3 linked regions of the Callithrix jacchus genome follow. The protein of the gene in region 2 interacts with the protein of the main gene of each other region in a pairwise test. Links are inferred from orthologs where the notes say so. Each region holds a gene or a part of one and is shown on either strand. Other genes may lie near its edges.

Region 1 (4,305 bases), on a different chromosome or scaffold from region 2:
AGACCAGCCTGGCCAATGTGGTGAAACCCTGTCTCTACTAAAAATACAAAAATTAGCCTGGCGTGGTGGCACATGCCTATAATCCCAGCTACTCGAGAGGCTGAGGCTGGAGAATTGCTTGAACCCAGGAGGCAGAGGCTGCAGTGAGCTGAGACCGCACCTTTGCACTCCAGCCTGGGTGGCAGAGAGAGACTCCGTCTCAAAAACAAACAAAAAAGCCTCTTGGCCACTTGTTCTGTGCCTTGTGCAAGAACCCTTCCAGCCCAGGAGTCACTTAGTAGTCTTCAAACATTCTACTTTGCTTTTCTAGAGTTTCGGTTACATTTCTTTTTTCTTTTTCATTTTTTTTTTCTTTTTTGAGATAGAGTTTCGCTCTTGTTGGCCAGGCTAGAGTGCAATGGTGCAATCTTGGCTCACCCTGACCTCTGCCTCCTGGGTTCAAGCGATTCTTCTGCCTCGGCCTCCCAAGTAGCTGGGATTACAGGCATGCGCCACCACGCCCAGCTAATTTTGTATTTTTATTAGAGACAGGGTTTCAGTATGTTGGCCAGGCTGGTCTTGAACTCCCGACCTCAGGTGATCCGTGTGCCTCAGCCTCCCAAAGTGCTGGGATTCACATTTCTATCCTAAGCAAAGTCTATATAATTACCGAGTTGCAAAAAATCATCTTTCCAAACTCCAAAACGGAGATAGGAGCGAATATAAAAGATATGAAAGAGGCAGGCATTCCTGGGTCAATCACTCCGATATTGTAGGGTTGGGATCCCCAGGGTACTATGATGGCTAATTGGAACAGAATGCAGACATTTCTCCAAAGCCCCATCATTCATAAAAGCAAATTAGATATGATTCAGTGGATTCATGAGGAGCCACCAGTTGCTTTACCGACTACTAACTTTGCAGAAATGAAACAAGGTACTTGTTTGGGTCAAGGTTCAATGAGGCTGGTTTTTACAACATTCCAGGCAATAAACAGGGACGCCCATTCATTGATAAATGTTGACACTGACAGGTGGTGACCGCTGATAAGGTTTGACTCCCATTCAGAAAGTTAGTTTGACCTCTTTCCAAGTAACCACGGCCTTACCCCTCCCTTTTGAGCTTATCATAATTGGTGATTGTACAGTTGTTTCATAGGCTTCCCCACCAGACTGTGAGCTCTATAGGGCTGGGCCCAAGATCGGTTCCATCACCAGGCTCTCTCGCCTAACTCGGCCCACGGGAGGCGGCTTCCAGCTGCTCTGGATCCATTGTTCAGCTGGCAGCGGCCACCAGGTACCCTGATTTACTTGGCCCCGCCCTCCAAGGGCCTTACTTCCGGGATTCTTCAGACAAGAGCAAGAAACATGGTCACATTTGACGTCCCGCGCCTGCGCACGCTCCGTCTTGCGCCTGCGCATTCCTGACAACTCCCGGACCGGACATAACGGTCCCCGCGCGGCTCTCCGAACCGGAAGTGGAGGCGAGCTGTCGCGGGCCGCGCCCGGCCTCGCTCAACGCCCGGTAGTCGCTGCCGCCGCCCTTGGCCGCTGCGGAGGCTTCCTGCAGCCACCATGTCCGCCAGCGCCGTCTACGTGCTGGACCTGAAGGGCAAGGTACTGAGGGCTCCCCACCCTCCCCGTTGCCCGGCAACCGGCGGGGTCCTCCTCCCCGCGGGGATCCACCCTGTTGCTAGGTAACCGGCCTGTGAGCCACCCTGGTGTGACGCTAGGAGGGCGGGAGATTCACACCCTGTTTCTTTCTGGGTAATTGGGCGGGGGTCTGCAGTGCCTCTGCCCCGCTCTGTTGCTAGGTAACGCGGTGGGCTACCGCCACCGCATTGCCAGGTAACCGACTGCCGCGACCCCTACTATCAGGCGCAGGGACCAGGGGCTCTGGCCTCGGTGGAGGACCCGGAAGTGGGGCCGCAGCCGGCCCGGGAGCCAGGCAGGGCGTCCAGGGGATGCACGACCCTTGGCCAGGGGTGGCGAGGCGTGGCGGGGACTGGGTTCCCTCAAGCCAGTCCCGCCTTCTCAGGGCGTTGCAGCTTCTGTTTACCGTGCACTTTCTCTCAGTAGAAATTTCTCCACGTTCATTGTGATACTGACTTAAAAGGGTTAGGTGAGGTGGGTGGTGATCACAAGTGTCATTTTATAGAGGGAGAAACTGAGGCACGGAGAGGTGAAGCAGCCTGACCAAGGTCACACTGGTCACAGAGAAGTAGCAAGTCTAGGAGTCCGATCCAGAATCATTTGTTCATTCAGCTGATATCTAGGGAGCACTACTAATGCTGGGCAGGGTACTACCTGGGGTTGATTTGTGTTTAGCAAAAAACAGTCCCCCCTCTTTCTTTTCTTTTTTTTTTTGAGATAGTGTCAGTTGTCCAGTCTGGAGTGCAGTGGTGCAGTCTCCACTCACTGCAACCTCCACCTTCTGGGTTCAAGCAATTCTCCTGCCTCACCCTTCAGAGTAGCTGGGATTACAGGTGTCCACCACCACACCCAGCTAAATTTTATATTTTTAGTAGAGATGGGGTGTCATCATGTTGACGAGGCTGGTTGGTCTCGAACTCTTGACCTCAAGCGATTTATCTGTCTCGGCCTTCCAAGGTGCTGGGATTACAGGGATGAGTCACTGTGCTAGGGCTCAACAATCCATATTCTTATGGCATTCACAGACTGATGGGGAGATGGTTACCGATCTCCAAAAACACAAATAAATGTCAATTGCAGTGGTGGGGCAGGGTGAGTGTGTAATAGGGACAGTCAGTCTCAGCTAGAGAATGAGAGAGGGTTTCCCTGAGCAGAGGTGACAAATGGACCTGAGACACTAGCAAGCTGGACATAAACTAGAACCTGGGCATCTTCCCCAGAGGATCTAAGAAAATTTAAAGGCAGGATTGTCCCCGCATTTTTGAAATGGGCCTCTGCCTTCTCCCCAGTCCATCCCAGGTGCACGGCAAGTGGCTGCTTGGCCTATTGTGTGTGGAAGCAACAAGAACCAGTCCAACAATGTTAGCCCAACATTGATCAGTGAGAGAAACAAACGTGGGTGTCAGGTCCTAGGTGAGAGGTGGGCAAGAGTGAGCTCTGAAGCCGCTGGGAGTGAAGAGGTGAAGTGGCTGCCACACCACCCCAGCACTTTCCTGAAGTCCCTTGAGTAGGTGCCTGCCCTGGAAGCACCCATAGTCAACACCTAGTGAGACCCAGTGCTGGCCTTCCTTCTCCCGCCTTCTTAGAGGCACGCCAGAGGCTGGGTGGGTGTGGTGTTCCCTGAGCCCTGGTGGCATGAGTCTTGCTTCTGCCCTGGCCACTGCCTCTCCAGCCGTGCCAGCAGGCTGCCTGTCTTGGCTTGCTTATGCCTTCAGCAAACATTTCATGAGCACCTAGCATGCACCCCGTCCTGTGCCAGGCATAGGGTATCCATTGGCACCATGGATGTTGGTGTTAGGGCTGAGCTGAAAACCCGTCTCTGCTGCTCAGCTGGGACAAGCCTCTTCTCTCTGAGCCTCGCTTTTCTCACTGGTCAAAAGAGGCTTTTTTTTTTGGACGGAGTTTCGGTCTTGTCGCCCAGGGAGCGCAATGGTGCAATCTCAGCTCACTGCAACCTTCGCCTCTCAGGTTTAAGTGATTCTCCTGCCTCAGCCCCCCAAGTAGCTGGGATTACAGGCACCGTCACCACACTCAGCTAATTTTTTGTATTTTTAGTAGAGAGAGGGTTTCTCCATGTTGGCCAAGCTGGTCTCGAACTCCTGACCTCAGGTGATCTATCCACGTTGGCCTCCCAAAGTGATGGGATTATAGATGTGAGCCACTGCGCCTGGCCAAAAGAGGCTTTTATGGACTTACTGTGCAGATTTGCTGAGCAGATGCATGAGACAGGCTCAGCACCACTCCTGGTCCATGTTAGCCTTCCCAGGCCTCTCTGTCTAGCAGGGGAGTCACCTCCAGGCAGCCACAGGGGCAGGACCAAGGTCCTAAGTACTGCAGTTGCTCAACCTTATCTTTAGCCAGTGGACGGCGGAGGTGGTTACAAAAGGCCCCCTGGAACAGGGCGATGCTGGAGGGGGTTTGGACGGTGACCACGTCAGGTGGAAAAGAGGCATTGCAAGGGACACAAGAGGCAGCCGCTGGGGCTGCCAAGCCAGAAGTCCTGACTAATGCTGAGCTGGGAGAGAGAGCCCATGGGGACCACTTCAGTTCCAAGAAGGAGCAGCCACTGTGAGGAGACCGTAGCCCAGAGAGGCATGATCAGACCTGCCCTTCAGGAAGCTCCCCAAGGCAGTTGTGGGCTTCCCTCCCTTCCTCTGCAACCAAGACGCCCTTT
Region 2 (3,465 bases):
TAGAAGCAGATGATGAGCAAAGTGCTATTTGACATGTTGGCCAGTAGCACAGTAAATGTTATGTAGATAAATGAAGCAGAGTCAAGGGTTAGAGATTGGTGGCAGAGAACAGGGTTCTCTGATAGGTCCGGTGGCCAGAAAAGTTCTCTTTGAAAGCAGTAGGTGAAGGAGTCAGGCAGCCAACTGGGACAAGTCTTGCAAGGCAGAAGGGGTAGAAGGTGCAAAGGCTACAAAGCCAGAACTACTTGACGTGTGTGAGAATCAGCAAGGACAGTGATTAGAGCATAGCAGAAAATGGGAAGAGGCATAGGATAGAAGGAAGGGCTTTGTAGACCTTGGCTGCAACTTTGCTCTTTATTCTGAGATGAAACTTGGATGATTTTGAGCAAGGGAGTGAAGGGATCTAATTTTTGTTTTAAATGATTCCCGTGGCTACTTTATGGAGAATATACTATAGGTAGAAAAAAGCGAAAGCTAAGTGATTAGTTGCAGCAGTGTGTGAGAAAGAAAGGCTGGGTGGGGATCAGGGTGGCAGTGGTAGAAATGGCAAGACATGATTGAATTGGCAATATATTTGAAAGCAGAGCCAATAATTCATGATAGCTCTAGGATCAGAGATCCATTTAAAGTAGAAAAAGAAAATTATTTATAAACACTCACATCTTCACAGTTCATTTTTAAGTAGAGAATAATACCCAGTGGCCAATGGCACTAGTAGCAGAACAAGAAATAGAGAATAAAATGTGTGGGATGCCTGCAATTGGTTATCGGATGCTGATTTTGCAGAACTTTTTATATCTTGCTATTTAGGTTTTTTTTTTTTTTAAGGTAGGTATATCATATTATTTCCCAATTAAATAAGTCACTGTTTAAATACTGCCTTTTTCATGAAAGGCAGGACCCCCTGAGGGTCTTCATGACCCTGAAAGGAAGTGTGACTTCCACAGTGCAGCCAGCAGTGTCAATACTTCGCTAAGTGAGATTTAAACAAGAAAGAAAATGTGTTAATAAAACATCGCGCCAAGAGAATTTAGTGGCCACAGACCCACGAAGGAACACTGAGTTGTGCGAGTTGGCTAGGTAGAAGAGTGGTTAATCTTTTCAGCTTGAACAAGTGTACCTTCTCTGAGACCGGATTCAGCGCTCGCCAGGTCCTCTGCTAATTCAGGCCCCACATCCAGGAGCTCTGACAGCCGACCGCAGCCTTTAACTGCCCGCCTAGAGGGCTACGACAAGCCGGTGGTTCAGCAACCCAGCGCATCCTAGTCCTAGCCAAGCCCTGTGTGTCTACACTCTTCCCATCCCGGCCACGCCCCCACGCTTCCGCGGCCCCTCGCCTGGCCACGCCCCTCCCGCGCCGCGCCGGCGCACCGTCCGTCCGAAAGGCCGCGTGGGCGGGGCTTGCGTAGCCTCCCGGACTCCGGCGCGCACCGCACCGCCCCCCCGCCCCCCGCCCCTGGCCCTCGCGCGCCTTGGTGGACAAGCACTTCCTGCGAGGCCTCCGTACGCACCTTGTCCGAGCCGAGCCGCACCGAGCCGCACCGAGCCGAGCCCTGTACTTCCAAGCCGTTCGCCATGGTGGATGAGCTGGTGCTGCTGCTGCATGCGCTCCTGATGCGGCACCGCGCCCTGAGCATCGAGAACAGCCAGCTCATGGAACAGCTGCGGCTGCTGGTGTGCGAGAGGGCCAGCCTGCTGCGCCAGGTACGTCCGCCAAGCTGCCCGGTGCCCTTCCCCGAAACGTTTAATGGCGAGAGTTCCCGGCTCCCCGAGTTTATCGTGCAGACGGCGTCTTACATGCTCGTGAACGAGAACCGATTCTGCAACGACGCCATGAAGGTGGCATTCCTAATCAGCCTCCTCACCGGGGAAGCCGAGGAGTGGGTGGTGCCCTACATCGAGATGGATAGCCCCATCCTAGGTGATTACCGGGCCTTCCTCGATGAGATGAAACAGTGCTTTGGCTGGGATGACGATGAAGACGACGACGACGACGAAGAGGATGATTACTAGGCCTTAGACCCTCAGGCCTAGCGGGGAGGGCCCTGCACGCCGCCACCCCCTCTCTCCAGCCCTCACCCCGCCGGGAGCCACTGTTCTCCGCCTTGCCCTCTGGTCCCCTTCCCTACTCGCGCCCTTCAGTTCTCTCTCTTCGTTTCTCCGTAGTGCTTGTCTTTGTTCCAGGAATAGTGCTCCATTTACCTGCTGCTGGGGTTGGGGCTGAAGCCTCACTCACTCGGAAATGCTTGGAAGTGTCATCTACCCTGGCCAGCCCCTGAATCCCTCCCCTGCTAATCCGAACTGTGTCCTGAGCCCCAGTTATTGGCCATGCCCCCATTATAAATTGGTCATACCACCCATAGCCCTGCTGCTGCCACCTACCCTACTGCCAGGCTTACATCTGCCCAGAGAACTATGCTGCCACTTCACATCCACTCACCACATCCCACCTACATACTACCGCCTTTCGAAGTAAGGACCAACCTGGAAGATGCCAGAGTTGGCTATACCTCTTCGGACATTGATTCGGACAGCTCACCAACCCATGAAGGGGCCAATCATTCAGCCTGGTTAGTTTTCTACCCACTCTGAGGGTCCTCCCATGCCCCACCAGATTGCTGCAGGGGCTTGGTGTGCCTGGCAGCCAAATTGTTGACATTTCTTTTTTCCTATGCATTGGTTTTACACAGCTGTCACTTTACTTTCAAAATTGCAGCAGTCCCCCAGATGTGTGCATTTGGACAAATAATACTAAGAACAAAGCAAGCACTCAGCCCAGCTCCTCAATACTACCTGGAAAAAGCATTGGCATTATTTTCAATAAATATCAAGCACTACAAAAAAAAGAAATGATTGTCTTTTAATGGTTAAGTGCTGTCACTGGCCTCCAACACTGTCACTCTGTCTACCATTATTCCCATGGAAATCAGGGTTCCCCGCTGTCATCTCCAGGCTGTTGGCGACAGCTACCTCAGGGCTCTGTCAGTGTTCTGATGTTCCCTTCACCAATGTATTTCATAAAGCCCTGGCAAAGGGTATGTCCTCTGGTTCCTCCAGAATGGCATGGGTAAGGCTTGGCTGAGCAGATGGCAAAGAGGCAGTATTAATAATTAGACCATAACAACAGTCATAAACCTGGAAGAGGGGGGAGAGAGAGAGAGAGAGATGTAATGCTCCCAATTATCTGAGCTTTCAGATTCCTTAACACTGTACCAGGGAAGTTCTGCCCCTTAATCCTTATTGCCTATGTGTAGCTGCTGAGTTCAGGCTCCAAATAGCCAACATAGTATATTGCTTTTATGTCACTCTCAGATGCTCCAGCTAACATTAAATCCTGGATCCTGGGCACGTGTACCCATAAAGATAAACCCTGATCTTAACAAATATTTCTGCAGGGCGCGGTGGCTCAAGCCTCTAATCCCAGCACTTTGGGAGGACGAGGCGGGTGGATCACGAGGTCAAAAG
Region 3 (4,277 bases), on a different chromosome or scaffold from region 2:
TGATAAAGTCCTTCCTACTGTGAAATATGCCCTTTCCCTTTTTTTCTTTTTTTTCTTTTTTTACACAACCCAGCTGGTAAATTGGGGCTGCTTCTGTTATTATTCTACAAGTCCTTAAAGAGTTCTTAAATAGGCCGGCCGCGGTGGTTCACATCTGTAATCCCAGCACTTTGGGAGGCCGAGGCGGGCGGATCATCAGAGGTCAGGAGTTCAAAACCAGCCTGAGCAACATGGTGAAACTTCGCCTCTACTAAAAACACAAAAATTACCAGGTTGTGGGAGGCCGGAGTGGGTGGATCCCTTGACCCCAGCCAACTCGGTAAAACCGCCTCTACTAAAAATACAAAAATCAGCAGGGCGTGGTGGCGGGTGCTTGTAATCCCAGCTACTCAGAAGGCTGAGACACAAGAATTACTTGAACCCGAGAGGTGGAGACTGCAGTAAGCCGAGATCGCGCCACTGCACTCCAGCCTGGGTGACAGAACAAGACCCTGTCTCGGTGGGGCGCGGTGGCTCACGTCTATAATCCCAGCACTTTAGGAGGCCGAGGTGGGTGGATCACGAGGTCAAGCGATCGAGACCATCCTGGTCAACAAGGTGAAACCCTGTCTCTACTAAAAATACAAAAATTAGCTGGGCATGGTGGTGCGCGCCTGTAGTCCCAGCTACTCGGGAGGCTGAGGCAGGAGAATTGCTTGAACCCAGAAGGCAGAGGCTGGAGATCGTGCCATTGAACTCCAGTCTGGGTAACAGCGAAACTCTGCCTCAAAAAAAAAAAAACCCTGTCTCAAAATAATAATTACCTAGAAACTTAAATGCAAACACTTTCCAGCCAGGAATATATTTTAATAGGTAGTTTCCAACTACCAGTGGAAGAACCTGAAAGCCTAGAAGTGGAGTTTTGGGATTTCGGGCAGGCAATGTCTCAGGCACCTTGGGGGATTTTTTTTTTTTTTTTTTTTTTTTTGGTCACTGGATTAAATCAGCACCACCTGCCCTGTGTGACACCAAATACCGCACCACAGCTCACACTGGCCTCATCAACTGACCTAATCAGATACTATTACCAAGATTTTTACTCCATCTAACTCTACTTTTTCTGAGCTTTCAACAAGCCAAACGGCAACTCACTGGCGCCTCAGTTTCTTATTAATTATGCTGTTCTTGGCTTCTAACCAACCTAACACGTGGAACCTTTCATTAGAACCTTCCTCACCGCAGGGTCCGCCGGTCCTACCAGCAAAGCCCAAAAGAAGCAAAATTTCCCGCCAAAGGCGGTTTCCAATTTCTGCGACGTAGAGGACCCGAGGGCAGCCGAAGAGCAGGCGCAGAAACAGACGCAACTTCCTAGCTGTGGGCGCTCATAGGTCCTCCACCGTCCCACAATCCTCTCGTTACATATTTCCGGTTTATCTAGCCCAGCCGTAAGCGGTTTCGCTATCAGTCGAGCAGCTGTGTTCGTGAACGTAGGTGGAAGGGATCGCTTCTCTTCGTTGACGTTGTTGGTGTTCACTGTTTGGAATTAGTCAAGTTTCGGGAATCACCGTCGCTGCCATCAACATGTCGGTCCCAAGCGCTCTCATGAAGCAACCGCCCATTCAGTCTACGGCTGGGGCCGTCCCGGTTCGCAATGAGAAAGGTACGGTGCTGACAACCCTCTTCCCAGCCGAATTTTACTCTTTCGGCCCCAGCAACCTCCAGATCTCTCCCAGGTCTGGAGAGGTCTGTCTCTCCCAGACAGACCACTTCTATCCCGCCAGCTCTCAAGATTTGGCTCCCAAATTCTTCGACCTTTCCACCCCCACCCACTCGCATCCGATCTTCTTCCTGTGGCCTGCTCTCATATTCAGCAAGCACCCCTTAGCCTACACAAATTCCTTAGACTAATATGTACATTATATATATTACATATATAAAAGTACTTAATAGTTACTTAGGAATTTAACTATATATCAGAATATAGATGTCTAATATCCTGGAATATATGTATTAGTCTAATATTAGAATATAATATCACTACATATTACTAGAATATATGTATTAGTCTACTTAGGAACTTAAGTATATATATATTAATCTAATAATTAGGGACTTAAGTATATATCAGAATATAAATATATAATATCAGACTAGATAGATATGTAGGTAGGTAGATACATAGACAGAGAGAATGCCTATTTGCTGGGCATTGTGCGGGATATAGTCCCTCTTTTGCTGTCCATAGAAGACTGCTTATGCTGCCCAGATTGGACTCGACGTCCTGGACTCCGGCTGTCCTCCTGCCTCAGCCTCCCAGGTAGACACCACCGTGTCTAGCCTCAACATGGATTTTGGGAATTATCTTTGAATCCCTATAGATATTTATTCATCTGAACTGCTTATGAATTCCATTGTGTACACTGTAACCAGCCAGAGGCGGTGGCTCACGCCTGTAATCCCAGCACTTTGGGAGGCCAAGGCAGGTGGATCCCAAGGTCAAGAAATGGAGATTATCCTGGCCGACATGGTGAAACCCCGACTCTACTAAAAATACAGAAATTAGCTGGGCATGGTGGTGTGCACCTGTACAGTCCCAGCTACTTGGGACGCTGAGGCAGGAGAATTGCTTGGACCTGGGAGGCGGAGGTTGCAGTGAGCCGTGATCGCGCCACTTCACTCCAGCCTGGCAACAAAGCGAGACTCGGTCTCAAAAAAAATAAATTAATTAATTAAATAAACTGTAACCCACAGTTTATTCCCTCCTGAGGGGCAGGTAGTTGTCCCATTGCTGTTTTTTTCCCCCTGTTAAAAAAGTGCTGCGGCTGGGCACTGTGGCTCACACCTCTGAGGTGGCGGATCACCTGAGGCTAGGAGTTCCAGACCAGCCTAGCCAACGTGGCGAAACCCCATCTCTACTAAAATACAAAAAATTAGCAAGGCGTGGTGGCAGGCACCTGTAATCCAGCTACAAGTTCAAGTTCTGCAGTTGTTGTTCTTTAGCCAATTCAGCTTTAATACCTCTCCAAAGTGAGTTGTAAAAATGTAAGAATTTGGCCGGGCGTGGTGGCTCATGCCTGTAATCCCAGCACTTTGGGAGGCCAGGGTGGACGAATCATGAGGACAAGAGATCAAAACCATCCTGCTAACATGGTGAAACTCCCTTGAACCCGGGAGGCAGAGGTTGCAGTGAGCTGAGATCGCACCACTGCACTCCAGCCTGGCAACAGAGCAAGACTGTTTCAAAAAACAAAAACAAAAAAGAATATAAGAATTTGTGGAGCACATTGGCTCACACCTGTAATCCCTCACTTCAGCAAGCTGAGGCAGGAGGATCACTAGAGGCCAGGAGTTCAAGACCAGCTTGGGCAACATAGCAAGACTCTCATTTCTACAAAAAAATTTAAAATTAGCTGGATGTAGTGATGTGTTCCTGCTACTTTGGGGAAGCCAAAGCAGGAGAATCACTTAATGCCCGGAAGTTCAAAGCTGCAGTGAGCTATGATTGTGCCGTTATACTCCAGCCTGTGCAACACCTTGAGACCCTGTCTCTTCAAAACAAGGCCGGGCGCAGTGGCTCACGCCTGTAATCCCAGCACTTTGAGAGGCCGAGGCGGATGGATCACAAGGTCAAGAGATCGAGACCATCCTGGTCAACATGGTGAAACCCCGTCTCTACTAAAAAATACAAAAAAAATTAGCTGGGCATGGTCGCGTGTGCCTGTAATCCCAGCTACTCGGGAGTTTGAGGCAGGAGAATTGCCTGAACCCAGGAGGCGGAGGTTACGGTGAGCCGAGATCACGCCATTGCACTCCAGCCTGGGTAACAAAAGCAAAACTCTGTCTCAAAGGCTGGGTGTGGTGACTCGCAGCTGTAATCCAAGCACTTTGGGAGGATGAGGCGGAAGGATCACGAAGTCAGGAGTTCAAGAGTAGCCTGGCCAACATGGTGAAATCCCATCTCTGCTAAAAATACAAAAATTAGCTGGGTGTGGTGGCTAAACCTAGAGAGCGTATTAGACACATGAACAAGATGCCCAGCATCACTAGTAATCAGGGGAATGCAAATTAGAATAACAAGATGCCATTTCACACCTGTTCCACCTGTTAGATTGGGCAAAAATGTAAAAATCTGATACAACCAAGTGTGTAAATGATGAATATATGGGAAATAAAGCTCTGAGGTTCTCAAAGTTTTTTTGTTGTTTTTTTTTTACATGGAGTCTCACTCTGTGCAGAATTGCGATCTTAGCTCACTACAACCTCTGCCTCCTGGGTTCAAGCAGTTCTCTGCCTCAGTC

Evidence for each region.
Region 1: the proteins of LDOC1 (region 2) and AP1M1 interact in binary tests that used the Homo sapiens proteins (3 or more experiments, as listed by UniProt). The two-hybrid records come from large-scale screens. The link is inferred for Callithrix jacchus from reciprocal best matches to the Homo sapiens genes LDOC1 and AP1M1.
Region 3: the proteins of LDOC1 (region 2) and MFAP1 interact in binary tests that used the Homo sapiens proteins (3 or more experiments, as listed by UniProt). The two-hybrid records come from large-scale screens. The link is inferred for Callithrix jacchus from reciprocal best matches to the Homo sapiens genes LDOC1 and MFAP1.

Annotation. Positions count from the first base shown.
Region 1 is NC_133523.1:14,819,195-14,823,499, forward strand, and holds the start of AP1M1 (AP-1 complex subunit mu-1), read left to right. Parts: upstream 1-1,452; 5' UTR 1,453-1,553; coding exon 1,554-1,595; intron 1,596-4,305. UniProt on the Homo sapiens protein: Subunit of clathrin-associated adaptor protein complex 1 that plays a role in protein sorting in the trans-Golgi network (TGN) and endosomes.
Region 2 is NC_133524.1:138,057,670-138,061,134, forward strand, and holds LDOC1 (protein LDOC1), read left to right. Parts: upstream 1-1,445; 5' UTR 1,446-1,575; coding exon 1,576-2,013; 3' UTR 2,014-2,850; downstream 2,851-3,465. UniProt on the Homo sapiens protein: May have an important role in the development and/or progression of some cancers.
Region 3 is NC_133509.1:31,484,437-31,488,713, reverse strand, and holds the start of MFAP1 (microfibrillar-associated protein 1), read left to right. Parts: upstream 1-1,424; 5' UTR 1,425-1,560; coding exon 1,561-1,639; intron 1,640-4,277. UniProt on the Homo sapiens protein: Involved in pre-mRNA splicing as a component of the spliceosome.